Linked DNA regions of Styela clava. The protein of the gene in region 1 binds, or shares a complex with, the protein of each later gene. Links are inferred from orthologs where the notes say so. Each region holds a gene or a part of one and is shown on either strand. Other genes may lie near its edges.

What was found.
Region 2: the proteins of kinesin-associated protein 3-like (region 1) and kinesin-like protein KIF3B are in contact, whole or in part, in a crystal structure (PDB 9IKB), measured with the Caenorhabditis elegans proteins. The link is inferred for Styela clava from reciprocal best matches to the Caenorhabditis elegans genes kap-1 and klp-11. Residues at the interface, in NP_001367739.1 of Caenorhabditis elegans: Pro155, Gln156, Thr159, Ser197, Lys198, Phe199, Ser200, Cys201, His203, Thr263, Asn264, Thr267, Ile269, Lys304, Leu307, Lys308, Ile311, Phe312, Met345, Phe348, Asn349, Phe352, Lys378, Asn381, Tyr384, Leu385, Cys388, Asp390, Lys393, Glu416; in NP_001369897.1 of Caenorhabditis elegans: Phe567, Pro569, Lys644, Arg645, Leu646, Val647, Ala648, Thr649, Pro650, Cys652, Arg653, Arg654, Pro655, Met656, Ser657, Met658, Cys659, Glu660, Ile679, Val686, Glu687, Ala688, Thr689, Ile690, Ile695, Arg696, Phe697, Cys698, Gly699, Glu700.

The regions. Positions count from the first base shown.
Region 1 is NC_135254.1:13,151,983-13,160,003, forward strand, and holds the start of kinesin-associated protein 3-like, read right to left. Parts: upstream 3,004-8,021; 5' UTR 2,855-3,003; coding exon 2,823-2,854; intron 2,740-2,822; exon of another isoform or gene 2,633-2,739; intron 1,905-2,632; exon of another isoform or gene 1,904-1,904; coding exon 1,772-1,903; intron 1,009-1,771; exon of another isoform or gene 903-1,008; coding exon of another isoform or gene 901-902; intron 585-900; coding exon of another isoform or gene 444-584; intron 16-443; coding exon 1-15. Other genes in the region: uncharacterized protein LOC120344989, read right to left, coding at 4,817-4,905, 5,114-5,288, 5,372-5,529, 5,643-5,763, 6,201-6,325, 7,340-7,473, 7,767-7,969.
Region 2 is NC_135257.1:5,000,034-5,007,366, reverse strand, and holds the start of kinesin-like protein KIF3B, read left to right. Parts: upstream 1-4,322; 5' UTR 4,323-5,043; coding exon 5,044-5,185; intron 5,186-5,825; coding exon 5,826-6,002; intron 6,003-6,100; coding exon 6,101-6,295; intron 6,296-6,822; coding exon 6,823-6,940; intron 6,941-7,333. Other genes in the region: mitochondrial fission regulator 2-like, read left to right, coding at 256-466, 646-768.

The sequences.
Region 1 (8,021 bases):
CTCCGCAATCGAATTCTACAAGAAAATTAGGTTGATTAAGGGTCGACCCTTTCAATCATTCATACGTGAGAGCTAATCTCCTACAGCTAGTAAATTTTTTAAAATACGGATATCATGACCTTCTTTATAGAATTATTGAGTAGTGGTTTAAATTCAGGCATCCTCTTTAATATTATACTATTATAACGATTGTAGCAATATTGTTCAGTCAAAATATGACAGGCATCACTCTTACTCTAGAATCATATTTTACTGGTTTTTACAGCTATGGTTAGAAGTAATTTGTATTAAGAGCAGAATTATTTGAAATCTAGTGGAAAAATAATTTAGTTCCTAATCTTCAGCTATTACTTCCTACTTGTTTTAAAAATATCAAAACATTTGACCTTTGAACCTCCACCCAGTAACTGGACTTTACTAACTAGCTAATATAACAATCTCACAGCTTTGTTCCCTGCTTAGTTAAATAATGTTCCAATTCCAATTCTTCATCTTCTCCTAACAAACAATCAAAACTGTAGTGAACAATTAAAGCATCTAAAACTGGATGAACTTCAATATACGTGGAAGCAAATGACGAGTCCCTGGAATAGATAGGTATACACTCAACTAGTACTCGATCAAGATGCTATTTATGAGCTAACCATACCAATCTGAACTGAAATTACTGAAAAAAGCTAGGATGAAAATATCAAAATATGCTATTCTGTTTCTTTCAAAATGATAACTATTTTATTTTTCTGATAATTCTAATTGGAATCGATAGCTAACAATGAGCAGAAAATTGTTGACAGTTTCTCAGTAATCATCTTCTTATTCTACATTACTTGACAACACTGTGTCTGTAATACAATAATGACACACTAAGAGCTGTTTTACTTATAATGATAGAATGCTTACATGATTTTAAAACTCTTCTGAACTACTTAGAAACACGATCCAACTTGGTAATGCTAACTTTCCAAAAAACTGAATCAACAAACTTCACTTTAAAACAAATTGTAGTAACTGCAAAAAGATAATTTTTGATTCATTTGAAAGACCAAAAAGCAGTTTCTACGCACAAGAAAACATATTAAACTGTTTTGCAGTAAAAATTGGCAAATAAATTTCCGTCTGTTAATTTTCCTAGTCACATTTCACTGATATACTCATACAAATACAGAACAATACATATTGTATTTGTGACAGATCTAGACAGAGCTAATTAGCTATCTCCGTAAACTATTGATAAATCATGCCTTATAAGGTTGCTATATGGTTCTCGTATAAAAACAGGGCTTAACTGCTGCAATTGATGCTAAAAACTTATCTAATGCTAAACTAACAACAAGAATGGTAATTATATCAGTATGTAAAGACAATTGAATTACCGGTCCTTTATTGTCACGTTCCTTTATATGATATCTAAGGAGCTACTTTCCGGTTTAATATTTTCTACTCAATATATTACACCCTGGTGGTGAATATGGGATTCGAACCGTATGTTTTTCACTTACTGATTTAACTAATTCTCAGCTTTAAAAAAAAAAACACAGGCATATAAACATGCATTCAAATTCCAGATATACTATAAGCATTATATTGTCGTAAATGATTGTTTATTCTTAGTATAATAAATATGGTATGTTAATATTGAACATATTTTTTTTGGATCCTGGTAATGCCCGAGTTCTGCATATATAAAGGTAGAATTTAGGCCTGTCAAAGTGTTTGGAAAACTATGAAAAAATATAGAAAATAAAATTCTTTAATAATGAAAATTAAATACATTTTTTGAAATTGCTTTCTTTCACCGAGCATAGGATCACCAAGTTCTCCTAATATTGTTGCTTCCACTTCATAATTCACAACAAGTGCTTGTTCAGTTGGGTGAACGTCAATTGCCCCTCCTTTGACCTTGCTGTAAAATAAATACCCAATTCACAAAAGGCACTTTAGAGTGTAAAAATATGTAAATTTCTCAGGGGACAGTACATTTTAATGATGAGCATGACAAAAGCGTTTTCTGTAATTCGTAACTTTTCTAGGGTCAAATCGCCTTATGGATAATGAGATTCCGTAATAATCGCTGAAAGAATCATCGGAATGAACGATCAAAATAATCACTGAGTCCCATCCCGAATACAGAAACAGGGTGAGTGTCAGTGCCACCGCTAGGTTGGCACATTGGCGTTGAATCGTACTTGAATTATCAGTATGAAAATTGACCAGATACAATTATTCTACACCAAACAGCAGGCTTTATGCACTGTATATGATTTAAATCAGAAGTTCACAACACAGGAAAAACGTGCCTAATGTCATAAACTCGAACATGGCATGCCAATGATTTCTTGATTTGGTGAAAATAATTTGTGTATTTCTGTATTTAAGTATATGGAATTCTGAACTAATAATAGCAAATGGTTGAGTAGGTTAAACATGATTTTAAAAACTTTGGCACATGTCTTCATTTAAGATGTGCGCTCATGATTTAAATATTCATTCAATAACCATTTTTTTGGATTTGCAAATGTCTGAGCTGCAGAATGCACTTTTCTGTTTTAAATATAAAAACAAACTTTCATTTCCAGTTCTTGCTCAGAGCCAGCAGGGCAGAATAAACTCTACGTTAAATTAGTAATTTTACCAGTAAATGTTCCACCTCCAGACAACAGCTTACATCCATTCATGCAAAATCATGAATTCCTGACTACATATCTACAATCCCATACCGTACCCGCTGACCGGAAGCGCCCATGGTCTGGTAACTGGGCGAGATACTGAGATACATATTTAAATACCATCCTACCTTTAAAAGCTCACTTATTCTGACTTACCGTTTCAAATATCTCGCATCATCCGTCTGCATGTTCTCACCATAATCTTCAACGAACTCCACAATCGACAGATACAAGCAATATTAAGATAATAATTGAGCGCATACAGACGTAATTATAGCGGTTACACAACCTTTCACCCAAGTTGCGTTAGCGATAGAATGCCGAATTATTTGCGACAGATCAGAAATTCTGAATTACGTTTAAACATTTTTTATTAATTTTTTTTTTTTTATTGTAACTCATACATTTTATTGCAACCAATATTTCTTATAATATTTGAATAAAACAAACAAAAAAATGAGACCCGACAGTAATGTATGTTTACGCGACCCTTGACCCCATAAACATTTTTTCCTTCACTTCGCGCAAGATTTTTCTACGATTATGAAAATCATAGTGATAACATTTTTTTCAATATATTCAAAAAACTGTTTGATGGGTACGGGGAGACAGCCAATCAATTTTGACGCATACCGAGACTGCGGTGGTGTGGCTCGCCACTTTTTCTTCTTCCAGTATACTTTTTAGTTTGTTTTATTTGTATTGTCGGGTAATTTTGTGGTATCAGGAAATCGAAAAAGCTCTTAAAATTTTCTTACAATTTATTCTTGAAACATTACTTCCCGTGCACAAAATCGGCATGCCATTTGTAGTCTTCTTCTAAACTCAAACTTACTCATCATCCCATATTACAAGTGTTAAATGGTAAGCTGTTACTAGTAATGAGGCATTTGTAAGATTATACCTTCGGATTTATTATTACAAATGAATGAGAAGGTTTTATCAATAAAACATGTTAAAATACATAAGATACAAGATATGTAAAGTTACTGGAAGCAATGTGTTAGTAGTAAGCGCATCAGGCAGGAACAGAAACTTAGAAACAATCATACACAGCATTCAAATTGTGCAATGTTATTCAATATCATGAACAGCAATATCAACACCATCGGTAAAAGATAAATACTGTTAGTGTGGCAAGGGAAACTAACATCCTATTCTGAAAATACAATAAAATAAACAGAAAATATAAATCATAAGAAAACAAGCAATTACCCTGGCAATGTTTTCAAATCTCGCATTCAGTTTTTTTGCTATCGATGCCATGTGAAATTATAATAAACAAATTGCCTAAGAAAAAGTATGAAGAACAAACACAATGAATCAGTTATGATATGGCATGTAAAATTGTTGCATTTCAACTAAATACACAATGACACAGGAACATTGAATACGGGCTATGGCACTAAAAAAATCTTATTGATTTTCTAGAAATATATATATATTGCAAAAATCATCACAGAACGACCTATGTTGCACATTGGAAAAAATAGCCCCTAAAAGCATACATGATATATAAACAATTACAAGTACAGGTAACATAAGCAACGATTGTATCTAAAAATCAAAATGCTTCTGTGCAAGTTGAAAAACACGCAGTACTAAAACCAGCAGATCTCAAATAACTCCCAAAAGTATAAGTGTGGTGAAAAAAAAATGGCGAAGAGAAAAATGAAGAATTCACAGATTTGTAAGTGTGATTGTCACAAATACAACATTAGAGACAGGTACACCAACAAAATAGCCACAACACAAATAATGCTTTCAAGTGGCTTCCAGTATCATAAGGCACAATGGTTCAGGGAAGCTTAATCAATAAATCCCACTCACAAACAAATTAAATTCGAAAAATTACAAATCACATTGAAGATCATAAAGAAATTAAATTCCAAATTTAAACTGAAGAAAAGTGCAAAACATAATTGTACAGCAAAAGGCCATTGAAGGACGTTATAACATATAGGAATTTGACAAAATTGAAAAATACTTAAAATATTCTTATATGCTCTTTTTACCACTAAGTAAAAAATCAAATCGATTTGGAAACGAAGGGTGAAACGGATTTATATTTCACTACCACATACTTTTGATCATCTGGCACTATTCAAAGCTTATCAAAAACTATAAAATATTTGATCAAAAAAATTCATCTAGTTGCATAGTAAAAAGTTCACAATCCTGGCGAGGATATAACAATATATAGGTGCTCCCAGTGAGAAAAGTTTGCTAGTGGCAGATCCTGAAAATACAAAATATCAGTAATCTCAACTCATTGAAACAAATCATGTAATTTGAAGTATCTCTTAGTCTTGATTAAATAAGAGCAGTAACTCCCGACCAAACCTAATATGCTAAGAACTGAGTAGAGTAAAATGTAGCTTTCTAAAAGACAGCATTCTTAAGATACAAATATATTATAAACACAAATTTGCATTAGAATAACATACCTGAGTTGGCATAAGTTTGAACATACGAGGATGCGTATGGTAGTCCGTTACCAGCCCTGTTATAAGGAAGAACAGTCGCATAGAATGTTCTGTTTTCCTCAACTTGGATAGTGCATTCACTCTCCTCAAATAGGAATGATAGCTTCTTTTTTGAATCCAAATCTTTCAGTAGCACCTGTGTAACATTATTACTCAAGATAAGAGAATTAGTAGATTTGAAATGAAAAAATAAACTTCACATAAAAAAGCAGAAAATACCTTATAACCTAACAATGGTTCCTCTTCAGCTCTGCCTTCAGGAATATTCCAAGATCCATGTATAATCGATCCAGTAACTGTGAAATGAACATTTGTGAGAGGGTACCGTGGAGGCAACTTCCAAGTATGGTGATCAATCGAAGTTGATGTGCTCTTCCCTTTAATAAAAATTTCCTTATTAATGAATTTAATGACAGAGTTCTACTTACAATTTCATATTAAAAATAAATGCATCAGTGTATACAGAAAATATATATATATAGATTCTTACCCGACTTGTTTGCAGCTATCACTACAATTTTATACTTGGTATCTGGTTCTAAATCTTTAACGTCCAAAGCAGGTGGTTTAACTTCATAAAATTGCGAGCTGCCCTTAGATGTTAATATCACCTGAAAGTTTGAAAATTAAATGAATTTCATACAGATATTATAATATAATAATATTTATGTGTGCAATGGCCTAGCAGTTAAAGCCTTAGAGCAGTATTTCCCAAACTTTTTCGTTGAATTCCTTCCTTCTTCGTTTTAGTAACTTTATTCCTTCCTCAGTACGCATATAGACTCATTTCTTAAACTTTATTATTGTATCCTTAGCTAATGTTATGCGAAAGTCGCCCGTTTTTGAACAAAAATATAGAATATTAGTAATACTACAACGAACACAAATGAAAATTCCAACCCAATAGAATTCCTACCCAGCTGGAAAACGTTAGAAGATATCGGTGATTACTTCTGTGTGGCTTTGCTCGGAGCGTAATGTGTGAATAAGCAATGCAGAAAAAATCTAGGTCGACAAGACACTCGTACCACTATTATATGTTATATACCTCATAATGCTCAGCATTTTCAGAACCGTTCCATGTCACAAGGACAGATGATTTCCGGGAAGGAAATTTAGAATATAAATTTTCACAGATCAGATTTTCGATAGCATACGGTGGTGTCAGATTTTCTGAAACGAATACGATGAGTACAATAACAAGTGTGTAATGTATAGATGTCGGTGGCTGACCGAGTTTTTTCATATTGCCATAATGAAATATAGGGGCTCCCGAAGTATGCGAACCAAGATGGCGGACATCGGAATGTAATATGTGTACTAGGTTAGGGTTAGGCCATAATTTTAGGTATAAATACTACGAGAGGCTCTTGGCTAGTCTTCGAACTGATAATAGGACTAAAATAAGAAAAATTGGATAAAAATTATCGCCTAACCCTAACCTGTTACCCATGTTACGTTCCGATGTCCGCCATCTTGGTTCGCATACTTCGGGAGCACCGAAATATATTTGTAACTGAATAGCAACACATACAGCATTGATCATACAGTAGTGTACATCCTTTCACCCTCTTACCAAGGCGGGTGAATATGAAAGTTACCCCCTAGCCAAGTGAACTGCCTGCAAGATTTATTCACAAATTCAGGAAGTAATACAAGAATATAATAATGTCATAGGAAATAATATCAACAACTTATATGGAGCTCGACAATTATATGAATGAACAGTGAATAAACATTGAAATATATCAACGAGAAAACAGAAACAATATATGGTATCTATTCATATCAGTGATCACACATTTTGGTAATTTGCATTTTAAAATGTCGGGATTAAGTAATCAGAAAGTCTGTACAAATGAGAGGCCACTCCACTCAGAAATTAAGTCCATATATACATCGCTATTCTTAAATTTAATGAAAAATTGTTCCATTTGTTATTCAAATCATGGAAGCCAGGCACAATTAAAAGTTATATGCAGTCATGATAAGATGACATAGCCTGCCCTGGGTCATTCTTATTCTGTAAGATTTTTTTAAAGAGGGATAAATCTACTTTTCTCTCCAAGATCCATGTTTATTTTAATAAGATAATTGGTTATATTTTTTATAAGTATGTGCTGTTTATTACTTGAGTAGAACCAAATTGGTGACATTCAAGAATTAGCTAATCATAACAATACTTACCAATAATTGGCTGTGCTGTTGTCACTGGGGCAGTCATGTTGTCTTGTGTTGCAGGGGTCTTTATGTCATCAGGTTCATCTCCTGGTGGATTCAATATAGCAGGAGGTTGTGAGCCGCCACCTTCAGCAACATTCCTATGAAATGAAAATTGGTAAATCCTGAAATTGACATTGTTTGGATTTTTCATGATGATAATCCAAGTCAAAAATTCGGAAAGAAACAGGCAAACAGCACATAGTATTGACTATTGAGTTAACACAGCACAAGCTTTTGTTAATAAAGTTTCTTTTTTTTCAATCTGGAGTCGGTAGTTGTTTATTGGATGGCACAGAGTTTAATATCGAAATAGAAAATTTTATCTCTCGGTCCCGTTTTAGTTCACAGCAATAAAAAATTTATTCGATAACAATCATTTAGTCGAACTTACTGGGGAGCTTTTCGTACTGGTTGGCAACCTGAATCAATGTTTGGCTCCTCGGTTATTCCTGATGACGAACAAGAAGTACACCCCATTTTATGCCAGTATCTATACTCGTGGAACCATCCGCGGCAACACAGAAGGCATTCCATTTCATTGGTGCTATTGATCATGTAAATTCCTTGTTTTCCATGACTATTGACGCAATAAACCTGTTAAAACATAACAATTCTGAATAGGATTTTCTATAATTTCAACTGATAT
Region 2 (7,333 bases), on another chromosome or scaffold:
TTACATCTGTAGTTTGCAACTGTAGTTGGTATTCGTTCATTTTATTCCCTTCATAGTGAGTCTGACTCCATAGGACTTTAGTTTGAGCAAACATTCATGAATAATTCGTGTTGTACTTCGAGTGTTGTCTTTGGTGGCAAATTAATAATATTGTTCATGCACTACTGTGAATTTTACCCAAATGTGTCCTAATTTTTATCCCATAGGTTTTGTATATTTTTTTGACGAGCTGGTAAATATTGTTTTTCATACTAGATCACCTGGTGGAACTCCATTTAACAAGAAAAAAGATGATTTAGAAGTGGTAGCTGGGGATCCAGCTTCATTGATTGCTGCAGCATTGAAGAAAAAATTTGCGCACAGAAAAAATTTTGATTCACCCAAGTCAGATGAAGTTGATGACTCATTTGAAACAAATAATTTAACACCAGTCAAAGGTTTTCCAAGTCCTAATCAAACTCCAAAAGTAAGTTCATCAGATTAATGATTTAGGCTTATTTAATGTAGTAAATTTCCATAACAATTCATAAAATATGGTTCTTTGTATATTAATACGATAGCCCAGGATTTCATCATGCTTGGTAAACATTACCCCGACAGTCAATGACGATGAACATGGGTTAGATTGTTAAATACGTTTTTCAGTTTGGTCAGCACCTTTTAAAAAGACGCAACACTTCACCAGCACCCACAACTACGCCTAAACCAGAGCTTCCAACTTTTTTAAAGAAAAGAAGAGATTTGGAAAATGTTAACCCACAATCTTGATCAGAATTTTATTATAGTTGTTCATGAATAACCGAGTTTATTTGCATGAATTGCTTTCGAATTTTTTCTGTTTTATTCTGCGTGCTATTGTACTTTTTATCTAAGTTCATTTATTGTATAATTCATCTGAACGATTTAAAATGGGAATATACCAGACATATATTTCTGATTTCATGTTTGCCTAATCGGCTTTTTTCATGTACCTTTTTACTACGAACTACATGAGATAATTTTGGTGCTAATGGTTTATCATTTTTGTTGTCAGTGCTACACCCATGACACATGCTATTTGGTCTTTTATAACCATTCAAAATAATCGTACATTTTTGTGTCTGGTCTCAGTACTGCCTGTCATTACTTTCATTTTAGAATTTTATGCGATTTTACAATTTCTTGCCTTGCTATCTTCAGTTACTTTTTATTGGACTGAAATTGAATCTTCAAAACCAGAACCGGATTTAGTACAGTTTACTAACCTTATACTCACTCTTGCAGTGCTGGCAATATTTAAAAAAAATTATCGATAGCTCTCATTTTTTTTATCAATGTTCCTCTTCCATCGCTTTAGTTTTTCTTTATTCTCTCGTACCTCTGCCTTCCCTGGTGCTATTCGTCTGTTGCTTTCATTTTCTCCATGAAAAGGATGAGCCAATTTACCGACACTACTGAAATTGGCATGTGCATCGTATTCAGAATCAATTTACCTATTCCTAATGCTCATAAACCCCCATGTTATGCTATTGGGGCAAATCATTAGGGCAGTAAATGCGGCACAAAATAGAAAAAAAATACTTCAATCCTTGCCCATAGAATGAACCATGTCCAGTTTACAAGTCTGGCCCAGATTCAGGTCTCATTGCCTTGTGTTCCTGCATCAAACATGATGCCTATCAATTGAAACTTTTATGTCTGCTATATAGTTTTGATTTTATTCTGTCTGTGACATTTGAACTGTATACTCCGAACATGCAAATGAAAGTGTTTTGCTACGAGATTAATGTTTGTGTAAGGATGTGTTTTTGGCTTTGATGAAGTATGTGTGCAGCCAGCCCGCTTTTATTGAAATTAAGAAACTGGAAGGGACAAAGGCGCATGTTTCGTTGTAGAATATAAGATATTGGTAACTTTTTTTTAAACCATTTGCTGTTTTAGTTGGAGTTATTTGGATCGCACATGGTCAATTTAGTAGTGGCGCGGCCTTCAGGGACCAGTTCACATATAGCCGACAAAACCATTCAAACGGGACATCGCGGATATAGCCAGGAACCCGGTATCTTGTAAGGATTGGTATAGGGAGAATACAGCGCGCTGGAACGTTCAGGTTTACAAAACATTGTAAAATAGTCAGTGCGACATCCAATGAATTCCAGTATAGTTTTATTCAAATTACAAATTTATCAGGTAACTTCCTTCACTAAGTTTGTTAGAAAACGTCGACATTATCGTTTTTATTATTTATATATTACCTTACGCTGCAAAATGTTGAATTTATTAGCGTGGCGGGCACGAAAAAGTTTGCATAGCGTGTCGTGGAGATGGCCTGTGCATTGAGACATTGTACGATTACGATGAAGTATGCTTTAATTCAGTGGTGTGTAAAGTGCGGCCCGTGAGGGAAAATTGTGCGGCCTGCGGAGAAGTGCCAATTTAGAATGGTGTGCGGCCATCCAAGCTGGTTTTTAATTTAGTTTGAGCTGGTTCCATTTGCGTTACAAAGCTATATTCGAGTCTAACTTATTATCTATGCCTATGACGTTACAACGTCCTAACAACGCGATTGACAAAGCTGCCACTTGCCGAGCAGCGAACAATTGAAAGGAAAATGCGGAGCAGACGCTAATGAATTTGTAAGAACGAGCAATTGAATATTGGGCAACTGGAAAGCAGTTTAAAAAAATTTAATATTGGAAGATACAGAAGCTAAATGAGTTTTGGTTCCAGCCTATCAGTTGATTAACGCAAAATATATGCGTTTTCTGCAAGGACCCCTAATGATGACGACACGAGATCAATAACAAAAAGACACTATTTTGTGCCTGCAACTAATAGAAAGCCTATGTCAAATGAAGGAGCGGCCCGCGCTTTTCCTCAGTAATTGAAATTTGGCCCGCCTGTGAAAAAGGTTGAACAGCACACCCCTGCTTTAATTTGACCTTTCATAGAAAGGTTTGACCTAATGCATAAATTTCATAATTAGGTATTATTAATATTTTTGCGATGCTGAGATCTATTTTATATAACATAAATATATTATATTTCATAGACACAGAAAACTAAATTTGTTTGATCCTAAAATCAGATATTTTATCTGGTAACATTAGTTTCGGCATAACAAATTATGATCAAAACTTGTCGGCCAAAGAATTTGATCCTGGAATACTTCAGTTTTAATATAGCCAGGTTGAGAATCGATATCCGGTGACAAAAACTTAAAAAGAGGGAAAATTTGACCACGTATGAGAATATTGTCCACCCCGCTCGATATTTTTTCGAAATGGGATGAAGTGGATTGCATTTATGCAGGATAACACAGGTTCAACTCTTTTCCCGCTTTTATTTTGATGATATTATAAATGATTTGCCGTTTGCGTTTATTTTTTTCAACAATATTTACAGGTGATACTCTTCTATACTGAAATCTGCTTATCACGAATCACGATGCGTTACCGTACACCGGCGAGTCTAGGTTCGATTTTTTTTACATTGATGTGAAAATAAATATTTCTTTCTCTCTCATGCCGCAATATTTTCGAGAATTTGATCTCCTATTTCGACGACCAAACTGATAATACTGTGTGTTTGATTTGTGCGTTTTCATTTTAAAATAATTTCAAATTAGTTAAGAATAAATTTACAATCGATCTACAGTCTACGCAGGTCTGCGCTGAAACTTTTAATTGAAACCGTTTATGGCTGATCAGAACCGCTCGAAATAACCTGAATTATAGTGAAGGGACGCCATCTGTCGATGCTTTGCTGGAAAGTATACAGGTGCAGGGGATTTAGTACGGTATTACTGTATTGATATCCCGTCAATCAGTGCTACAGTGGGGGAATATAGAAGAGTATCAACACATGTAAAGGCTTGTTTATCGATGTATATGTTTGTTTACGTTAACGTACATAATTTATGTCAATATTTAGGGAAGAGTGCAGTAATGCAAATCCTTGTGCTAATGACTAATGATGCTGTAATGTGCAGTGGTACCCCTACCCAGATGTTGATTCTCTCTCCAAGTATGCTAAGTACAAGAGTGCTGGTATGGTTGTTAACTAAATCACCATTTTAATGCACTGAATTCTCAGATGTTCAACATATTTATGCTGACAGATAATAATGTACTGGCATCATGCCTTTGCTCTGAACAAGGCTCTGTATGAACAGCCACAGATTTTTGGGTCTAGTGTAGTTCAGTACCACATGTACTTGTAGCATAATCGCGGCGTAGCATAACTATTTTTGCATAGGGTGGTGTAGCCAGTCTGCGGACGATTTCATTCAAACCGCTACTGATATAAAACAAAAACCAATATTTCTAACCCGATAATTTTTTCACCGTAGGTGCATTGGCATTTATTCTGCGCGCTAAACTTTGAATTAACTTTCTACGATCAGTGGTTAAAGCTATACAAGCCACCAAAGTACGACACTCGGGAGACGAATTTGCGACTGAACGACCGGCGTGCAACCACGGATTTCAAGCATTGAAAATCGATTCTGCTGCATCGAGACTAGATCATACGCAGCCATGCGTGAAAAAATTGGGCTTCTAAATGCATTTCTGACTGTCATATATTTTAAGAACATGGTTATTTCGAACAAAACGCGTCAAATTCTAAACAAAGCACCGCATCACAACAATCAAACAGACAAAAACACGGTGGTCACAAATTGGTCAACGAAGATATTATCGACGTATTGGAAAATGGAAATGCGTCCCCCCCCCCCCCTATTATCCCTCTTTTAAATGTAGAAACGCGAAAGATGGTTAAAAGAAACACAACTCTATTCACCTGCCAAGTTTCATCTTTTTATCTTTTATATTTGTATGGATTTTCAAGCTTTTTTAAAGAGACAATGGGTAGTTGGCGACATGGAAAAATTGTCCGTTTTTTTTCTGACATGCAAAAATTGTTGAGCCAGGCCAACTAGAAGTGCATGTGGTACTAAACTACACAAGGCCCCAGATTTTCTATATAAACCAACAATATAACTTTTTAATTACCACATTTTCAGGCTATATGGTACTGCCATAGTGGATAATCTAAAGTAAAATGTCAAAATCAAAGGGTGCAGAAAGTGTTAAAGTCGTAGTTCGATGTCGTCCTCTTAATCAAAAAGAAATTGCAGCAAATCATGACAGGGTTGTGAACATGGATGTGAAATCTGGACAGATTTTAATAAAAAATCCAAAGGGTAACAGATGATTTTAGAAGATGAATCTTATGTTATTTTTCATATCTATGTATTGGGCTATTTTTATGACCGTATGCACAACTATCCATTGTCCTTTAGTCTTGGTCTTCGGATATGGTATGAAAAAATAATGGTCAGAAAGAAGAAAAAAAACAACAGATGAATTGCCTTTTTACTGGATAGCTATCCCATTGTACATAGTCATCGCACGTACAGTAAATTTGATCCAGCCTATTGGATCTCTGGTTAATTTGTGACTCTTATGTAAATCATTGTTCCACATTTTGGAGTTGCGATTAGACGAATTATGTCACTTCATTTTAATAAAATGAGGAAAGGGTTTTGTAAGTTTGATCACTCAATTCAATACTTGCCCGCTACCTTTTTGCGAAACATGAAAAAATTCTTTCAAAAGCAACAAAATAACAATATAAACGCCCCAGATTTTGATTTCACTAGCTCTACCCGAAGATATCATGTTCAAACCATCTCATTGTGTACTAACTCATGATTGATATACTCAAAATTCATATTAACTGATACAGTCATTGCAATTATAGTTTTCATACATGAACATCAAATACTGTTTGTATGTTTAAAATACATCAAGAATTTTATTTGACCATTTATGCTATTACAGCGACTGGTGAAGCAGAGAGGAGTTTCACATTCGATGCCGTATATGATTGGAATTCAGAGCAAACAGATCTTTTTGAAGAAACTTTTCGAGTTTTGATTGATTCTGTTCTTGGAGGGTTCAATGGCACTATATTTGCCTATGGACAAACTGGGACAGGAAAAACTTACACAATGGAAGGTTCGATTATGCTGTAATTTTTATGGTGAACCATTTTGAATTTTTTCGTTGTATTCTTGTTTTATTGGTTATTTATCTTGTTCATTTTTGGTTAACAGGTGTTCGAAATGATCCTGCGCTTCGTGGAGTCATTCCTCGTTCATTTGATCATATTTTCACTCACATTGCGAGAACTAAAGATCAAGAATATCTTGTCAGAGCATCCTATCTTGAGATTTATCAAGAGGAAATTCGTGATCTTTTAGCGAAAGATCAATCAAAACGACTGGAATTAAAAGAAAGACCAGACACAGGTTTGTTTAAATACAGGGTGTCCTAAAATAAATGAAACCCATTAATTTGATTACCAATTTTGTGAGTTTCATTTATTTTGGGACACCCTGTATATCTTAAATAGTTATCATAATTCTCAGCAAGCAAATTCATCATTAAAAAAATAATGCTATGTTCAGAACTCCAGATCCATATATACTTCTCAACAGTGTAGAACTTATTGATTATCTACTTCGTATGTGTATGTTTTGGCTTCAATGCTTTGCAAATTTGATTTTTATTTTAATTTTTTTAAATATTAAAGCCCGATTTTTAAATTTAAAACAAACTCCGAAAATCAGTCATTAGTGTAATTATTTTCACTGTTCACAAATAATTAGGGGATAGAAACAATATTGCAATTGACTGTTATCTTGAATGGCATTATTTGACTGCTTATGACCACTCCATGCTATGGTTTACAAGCTACTTAGTAAAGTGATAACAATTTCAGTGGAAATACATTTTTTCATGAAGTGTAAGTTACGGTATTATGTTTGTTTTTCAGGCATTTATGTGAAGGATCTTCTGTCATTCGTTACTAAATCAGTAAAAGAAATTGAACATGTTATGAATGTTGGAAATCAAAACAGATCTGTTGGTGCAACTAACATGAATGAACATAGGTATATAAAGTTGATGACTTCTTTTCATTATAATAAATCAAAACAACTTTTCATGACATTCAAAACATATTTAGCTGTATTGACAGTGCAGAATACTGATAATTGTATCTATTTAAGGGATATGTTTTTCAACTACACTTTGCATCGTATAATTACCATAACTCAGAATCTAATGCAATTTATTATTTACTAAAATGCATTATGTTACATTGTATTTGTATTTAAAATAACATGGCGAGAAATTATTTATAACTTGATTAAATTTTATTGATATTGTCAACTAGATAGTATTGCAGTAATGGAAAATTCTTAACTTTGGAATCAAATTCAAGCTGGATTCTTGTGAACATTACAATATATGTTATGATATTTATTTACTGATATTGCTTCTAG